Canis lupus familiaris: one gene and its partner. The protein of the gene in region 1 interacts with the protein of each later gene in a pairwise test. Links are inferred from orthologs where the notes say so. Each region holds a gene or a part of one and is shown on either strand. Other genes may lie near its edges.

Region 1 (3,500 bases):
CTGTAATAGGTTAAGTTCTATCTTCTCTTTCCCTAATGGTCTAGAAAAATATTTGTTCCATTATTGCCTGGCTGATTTTTCTTCTTTCTTCTGGTCTCATAAGTGACCTAGCATAAGTGTTAGGTCCTCAGAAAGTTTGCCTGATGTAATGCCTGCTTCTTTGCAGTCTTTTATCTCTTACTGTCTTCCATTATCTCTGTTCCTGTTGTATAGTGTTAGATCTAAGACTTTTCCTTCCCTCATATTTATTACAATTGTAACTAATGTCTGTAATTGTTTAATGTTGGCATCCTTACATAGAAGACCGTTTCTCTGAGGCCTTGCAGGAACCCTGTCTGTTGACTTGACATCTATATTCTTAGTGCCTACCACTGTGCCCAGAACATAGCAGTTGCTCAGCAAAATTTGCCGAAAAAATACCCATTTCTATTGCACAGCTACCTGTAGAGGTAACATCTTAGCAGTGTTAATATTAAAATTTGCGTAAATTCTTAATTTTACTTATCAGATACAACTGCATTCTTTATAATTTTTCCTCTGTTAAGCTGTGAGTTTCTTGAGGTTGCAGTTTTCTAGTATATCTTTTTAATCCAGAGCCTATCAGAATGTTTGGCACTGGAAATTTTATTGTTCAGTGAATGTTTATCAATGAAAATATGTTTTTAAAATATGATTAACAAATGGAAAATTTTGCAGATAATAAGAATTCAAACTGGAATCACCACCATGCTACTAGTTTAAGTAACACACTAAGTGGGAGGCAATATTTGATAGCCATTTGCAGTAAAGAAGGTAATATGAAAAATACGTAAATTAGTGTGTGTATTCTAAAAAGTTCATTGTCAGCTAATGGTGAATATTTGGAAATTTAGTTTCTTGATTGGGTCTTCTAATAGTCTTTTTTTCATAATTAATGCTTTTTCCTGAGAAAATTTAGAAAACTGTGTCCTGCTTTTTTCATCAGTATTATATGGGAACATTTTTTCTCATTGCATTTAATTTTTTCAGTCTGATTTTAATAGGAACATAGTTTTTCATCCTTTAAGTTTGTCATAATTTTTCAATAATGGTTTTATTGAATATATAACCTATTTTTAGGTATTATATATAATACTCAGTGAACTTTCTGCAGAAATTGTTGTATTCATATCTGCTTTTTCCTTAGAATTTTAAAAGTAGAATTACTGAGTTAAAAGGTTTGAGCATTTCTAATACTGTTGATGTTACCAAATCATTATCTGTTGCCCTCCAAAAGTATTGTATCTGTTCATTTCTAACAAAAATGAGGGTGAAGAAAATTTCAGTTTACTCTCTTGTATTGCAAAGTATAATTACTAAAACCTTGTTAGTGTGTGAGGTTAAAAATAGTGATAATTTAACCTTATTTGATTACTAGTGAGGCCACATATATTTCATGTTTCTTGTATGTTTTCTATAAATTGTGTCCTTTGCTCATTTTTCCATTGAGATATTCTAACTAATCACAATATTGTTCTAATATTTTAATATCCTAATTTTAATTAATTTGTTTATTGATTTTTAAATTGAAAAAGCTTTGTACAATCTAATAATATCAGTGTATTTAAATGGTAATTTAATTCCATTGTAAGCTCTCACATAATAGAACATGTTTCATTTTTGCAAGTAGCATTAAGTTATCTTCTATGAAACATTTTAAAAGAACATTTATTTTGTAAACTAGGAGCCTTTTGTAGCAGATGAGTATATTGAACGACTTGTGTGGAGAACCCCAGGAGGAGGCTCTAGAGGGGGACCTGAAGCTTTTGATCCCAAAAGGTGAAGTAAAAAAAAAAAATTTTTCCCCGTAGATCCAGTCTAGTACAAATTTGTGTTTAGAATAGAGGTGACTATTGAAATTCCTTCCAAGGTTTGTGTAAAGGGATTTTAGTTAAATACTTGGCAAATAAAGACACAAGCACTGATTTATTTTCTCTTATATTTCTTTTATTTTAGAGAAGGACTTTAACTGGTGTGAGGGTAGGGATTATATATATAAGAATTTCATATTTTCTCCAATTTGTAATTAGAAAAGATTCTTATATCTCTAAAATAAATTCATGTTGAATATGTTGATTTAAGTGTAGTTGTAAATCAGAGGAACAGAAAGTCACTCTTCATGGAATGCACAATATTATTTTTATGTATTTTATAAAAATATTTTTGTACTTCATGTATATAGATATATTTTTATCTTTTTGACTATTTTCTATAGAATTGGTTTCTATTCTGGAAGGTAGTAGAGATCCTGGGTGAGGTTTTCAATCTTGTCAAAGATAATCCCTAGGATGCTATCAAGAAAATTAACATGATCACCCCTACTTCAAGGAATGCTTATTGATACTTTATTATAAGTGAACTGGCCAGCTCCTAATGATTAATCATAGATGGATTGATACATACTCTAATTTTCCTCTGTTAGGTTATTAGAAGAATTTGTAAATCATATTCAAGAACTCCAGATAATGGATGAAAGGATTCAAAGGAAAGTAGAGAAACTAGAGCAACAGTGTCAGAAAGAAGCCAAGGAATTTGCCAAGAAGGTACAAGAGCTCCAGAAAAGCAATCAGGTAAACATTTAAGCTGTGAATAATATATACAGGTTATAATATCTCTTTATTTCTTTCCACTTAATTGAGTTCTTTAAAAATTCTAGTCAAATAATAGTAACTGTTGAGGTTTCTTTCAAATGTTCCTATCCTTAGGGAAAAGCATCAGTGAATTGTTATCAAGCACTCTTAGCACTGACTTGCTGTTGATCCTTGATTTAGAATCATAGTACTCCCTTCTTAGGCTAAAGTAGTATGTAGTACAGTCACAGTGCAAACTTTGAAGAATGACCCTTTAGCAGATCTGCATTTTTAGGGGTTCATGATTAGCTTGGATATTTAAGTAGTGATTTGTATTCTCATTAAGCATAAAACAAAGTAATACCAGAACACCTATTACTTCAATCCAATTTTTCCCTAGTCTGGGAAGTTTTACAGAAGTCATGGAGTATATGCCCTCATGAGAATTGTGGTATAACTAGAGGAGAGTGGATACAGGACTCTTCTTCAATCCATTTTGGAGTAAAATCAAATTATCAGTATGGTTCTGGGGTAAGTAGGCCAAATTTCTTAGCTGTTCTTAAGTCCTAAACTGAATCTGGAACCTGTGAACCCATTTTACAGCCTGGGCCAGATCCTGGAACTTGATTGCCATTTATAAGTCTAGTTCATGGAGTGATGTTTAGCATTGCTGCCTCCCAGGGGCTGTTTTTCCTTAGTGTTAGGGATTAGCAAACTGATTTCTGCTCAAACGTTATTTGATTTCCTTCACTTAAGTATATATATGGCTGTGAGAAAATATTTAATAAAGTCAGTAATTTATGTAAGATAGAGAATGTGTTTTAAAGTAGTTAAAGTGATAGATTCCAAATACTTCAGTTTTCTCTTGGTAATATATAATAGTATAAATAGTTAATCTATCAGGTTTGGAGA
Region 2 (4,149 bases), on another chromosome or scaffold:
TGGAGATCTAGCTGCTCGCCTGGGCTATTTCCCCAGTAGTGTTGTACGTGAGGACCAGACCCTGAAACCTGGCAAAATCGATGTGAAGACAGATGTGAGTGTCTTGGGGGGCTGGCAGGGATCCGGAGGGAGGACCCTGAGGTTGTGATGATGGGCAAAGATGCTCCTGCCCTTGGCTCCCTGGCAGTGTAGCTGTGTGCACTGGGACAAATTCCCTGCCTCGGTTTTCTTATCTGTAAAATGGGGGAGTGATTTTTTTTTGAAGTCCCTGTTAGATTGAGAGGTGCAAAGATTGGAGGACTCTGGACTAATTTGCATAGCACATGTTTGGCCAAACCTGGCCCCTGCCACAACAAAAACCACTAGATCCTTTGTGGTGTGACCGCTGGTTTTCTCCCCACTGTTTACCCTTTCTCTTTTTCAGAAATGGGATTTCTACTGCCAGTGAGCTCAGCCTACCACTGTCCCTGCTGTTTTTTTTTTTTTTCCCTCCTTCTGGCTTTATGCAAATATATCAGCCAAGTGCAAAATGCAGGTCTCCGTGGTCTTTTTTTTGGGGGGGGGGGGGGGGCGGTGTAACAAAGGAAATGTTTCCCCAGGTTCCTGAATTTAGCCAGTCAACTCATTGACTCTCGTGACGTCAGTGGTTGCTAGGCAGACTTCCACTAAATGCTCTGCTCCGAGCTGGGTACCAGAGGTGGGCTAAACTTAGATACACAAGCAAATGAGAAGGCGGAATAGCCTGAACAGACCGGTTGCGTGTTTTTTAGTGTCCTCTCTAGACCAAGGGGAGGGAGTTGAACTGTTGGGAAGGAGCCAATAAGGCCACGAGGAAGACATAAATCACAGAATAACAGAATAAGAGGTTATCGTGGAAGACCATCTGCAAAGGGAAGGGGGAGGTTAGCCAGCGCGTACCCCCCACCCCTCCAGTTTTCGTCTTTCTTGTCTTTGAGGTCTGAGAAAGCGCTCCCCAGCTCGATACCCGCTCCTCTTCGGGTCTTTCTGTCAATCCTGTCCATGCCCCCTTCTTTGCAGCCGTGCCCCCGCCCCCAGGTCCGCTCCTACCCAATCCGGAGTCTCGACTCTGCACCCGTACTCCTGACCAAATCCGTTTCTCAGCGGGGCTAAAGCATCTCCGTACGGTCCCTTCCCACCTGCTCCGCCAATCGCTCGTCTTGGTCCCGCCCCCCTTGGCCCGTCCCCTCTCGCGCGGCCAATCCGCGCCCTTTGTCCCGCCTCCCGGCCGCCGAGTTCACCAATCCCTGCTCTCGGGAAGCGTGGCCTGGTATCCCGCAGCCCTAGCGGGTCGCGCTGTGGGGGGTGGAGGCGGAAGTGGCGGCGCCGGTCCCGGGAGTAGGAAGGAGCCGGGGCTGCAGCCGGAGTGGAGCGGCTGCCAGCCGAGGAGCAGGCGCGGCCGCGGCGCCATATTGCGGCCCCGAGCGGCCGCGACCGAGTCATGGCCGAGACCTACGGTGAGGGTGGTGGGCCGGAGTCAGGGTCTGGGGTCTGGGCCCAGGGAGGATGCGGCCTTTGGGGAGTGGGGCGGGGCCTTATGTGCCAGGGGGCGGGGTCTGGCATGGGGCAGGGCCTAGTGGCTGCTGGGAGGGGTTTAATGGGTACGAGGCTGGGCTTCATGGATTTGGGCGGAGCCTGAGGGTCTGGTGTGTGGGTTAAATAGATCTGGGGCGGGATTTGAGGGAGCCAGTCTTGATGGACTTGGGCAGGCCTTGAAGGAAAGGATGGTTCTTACTGTGTCGGGGCGGAGTCTGGATGGATGGGGTGGGGCTGACCGTGTGAATGGCAGGGCTTGGGGATGGTGGGCTGGGAGAACCCCGAGGGGTTGCTGTGGATCCTGGGATTGCTCTGGCTGGAGAGGGCTGCAGTGGGGTTGGGGATGCATCGTCCTTGAATTAGGTGGTGGGAGGGACTAGTGGCAAGGGGTGGGTGGGGCTTAAACTTGAGAGGGCCTCGGGCCGAGGAAGGGATGGAGGGACTGAGAATTGGAGAATCCGGATGGATGGATGAATAGGAGGTGGGAGGACAGGGTGCCGTAGAAACAGCACTGGTGTAAGAATCAGAAGGAGCTATATTCCTTCAACGAGTAGAGAAAAGCCGAGGGAACAAGTGCAAAGATCCTGAGGTGAGAACCAGCTTGCCATTTTCAGGTAATAGACTGAAGGCCCCAGGCTAGAATAGAGTGAATGAGAACGTGGTAGGAGGTGAGGTCGTGATGGGCAAGGGCAAGGCTGTCACCCTGGGTAACATGGATCTTGAGAGGCTTTAACAACATCATAGCTAAGCTTTTGAGCTCTGGAGCCAGTTGAGCTGGGTTCGAATCCCAGCTATGCCCAGCTATGGGGTCTTGGGTAGACCAGTTAACCTTTCTGGCCTCAGTTTCCTCATCTGGAAGATGGAGATACTTGTTGGTATACCTCCCTTGTAGTGTTTTTCTGAGGATTAAGTGAGCTTGCCGTAGTAAAGAGCTAGAACTGTGCCTGTTATGTGGTAAGCACTGTATATGAATTGTCTGTTGTTACTGTTGCTCTGTTTCTGCCTGTGTCTGTTTGTCCCCTTGTAACTGTGATGGTCTCTTGGTTTCCATCTTTTGCCCTGTATCATTCTCTCCATATGGGTTTCCCTGATTTTGGCTCCATCTGCTCAGACTTCCTCTTCAAATTCCTGGTGATTGGCAGTGCAGGAACTGGCAAATCATGTCTCCTTCATCAGTTCATTGAGAATAAGTGTGAGTTTCTGGGAGTGGTCCCGGGAGCACTGAACTGTGGGTGTGGGCATAGCGTGGGCAGGGGCAGGGCTGGCCGTAGGTACAATTTCAGTGCTGGCTGCCTGGCCCTCGCCTTTGCTAGATCCTCCTTGAGGATCTCAGTCACCCCAGCAATGAGAATGGTTTTGTATAGGCTGAGGAGGCTTGGGAGGACAGGGAAGCTTCTGAGCCCCTGCACTGCCTCTTCTCTCCTTCCCACTCCCAGTCAAACAGGACTCCAACCACACAATCGGCGTGGAGTTTGGATCTCGGGTAGTCAACGTGGGTGGGAAGACTGTGAAGCTCCAGATTTGGGACACAGCCGGCCAAGAGCGGTTTCGGTAGGTGGGCCGGGCTCCCAAGGGAGGGGGACAGAGGAAAGAGGAGACAAAATGAGATAAAGGGACAGAGAGAGAGGTGTGTGCAGTCACTTGGAGGTATGACGGAAGCACAGAGACAATGAGAGGGCAGGCGAGGCTGCGGGAGAAAGGCAGAGACTCAGTACGGGTGCCTATTATAGCCAGAGCTAGCAGGGGTCCTGGAGAGAGAGCAAGGATTGCAAGGGAGAATGAGGCTGAGAAAGAAGCATAATGAAAGGAGAGACCCACAGACCCTAGAGAGACTGCAGTAGATCGAGCCATAAGGCTGGAGAGATGGAGATTTGTGCCTGGGGAAAGGCGCTTGGGGTGGGGGCCAGGGGTAGAGGTGGAAAGAGAGAGATTGAAAGAGAAGGAAACTGCGAAAGAGATACACTCAGAATTAGACAGAGAAAGACAGAGACTGAGAAGAAGAGCAAGGGAAGGATGATAAAGAGACACAAAGAGAAATAGGTCCAAGCCGGAGACAGGGAGGGTGGGACAGGAGGAGCCAGAGAGGTGGAGAAATGGATGTTGTGTGGCGGGGGAGAGAGAATGGCGGAGGGCTCAGCATACAGTGTGTCTTCAAGAAATGGCTGCGGACAAGGTGGTTGGTGCACAGAAACCCTGAGTTTAAGAGACAGAGAGGAGGGACATGAGGGAATCGAGTCCATGGAGAAGTGTGGTCCCTAGCCAGCATGGCGTCGTAGCTGCTAAGTTAATATTGGTGATATTGTTGATATCACCATGTGAGAGAGACAGAGAGAAGGCGAAGGGTGAGTGGCTGGCGCTGGGTTTGTGCTAAGTGCTTAGTGAGTGCTTGTGGAATGGTTGAATTTGAGGAGGACCCAGACAGGTGACACGGAGATGCAGGCAGATGCAGCCACCCTGGGAAGAGGGCCTCCCCAAGATGCAGCAGGAGAGGGACAAGCCAGTGTAGTTGCAGAGCACTTGGCCAGGAATGGGCAAAGGGAAGAAGGCGAAATGAGGCATGAGTGAATGCATGAGAAACCAAGAGTGAAGAAGAGG

The links.
Region 2: the proteins of EXOC5 (region 1) and RAB4B interact in binary tests that used the Homo sapiens proteins (3 or more experiments, as listed by UniProt). The two-hybrid records come from large-scale screens. The link is inferred for Canis lupus familiaris from reciprocal best matches to the Homo sapiens genes EXOC5 and RAB4B.

The regions. Positions count from the first base shown.
Region 1 is NC_049229.1:33,133,153-33,136,652, reverse strand, and holds part of EXOC5 (exocyst complex component 5), read left to right. Parts: intron 1-1,702; coding exon 1,703-1,797; intron 1,798-2,440; coding exon 2,441-2,588; intron 2,589-3,500. UniProt on the Homo sapiens protein: Component of the exocyst complex involved in the docking of exocytic vesicles with fusion sites on the plasma membrane.
Region 2 is NC_049222.1:113,793,091-113,797,239, reverse strand, and holds the start of RAB4B (ras-related protein Rab-4B), read left to right. Parts: upstream 1-1,349; 5' UTR 1,350-1,459; coding exon 1,460-1,475; intron 1,476-2,665; coding exon 2,666-2,746; intron 2,747-2,990; coding exon 2,991-3,105; intron 3,106-4,149. Other genes in the region: MIA (melanoma-derived growth regulatory protein), read left to right, coding at 1-94, 425-448. UniProt on the Homo sapiens protein: The small GTPases Rab are key regulators of intracellular membrane trafficking, from the formation of transport vesicles to their fusion with membranes.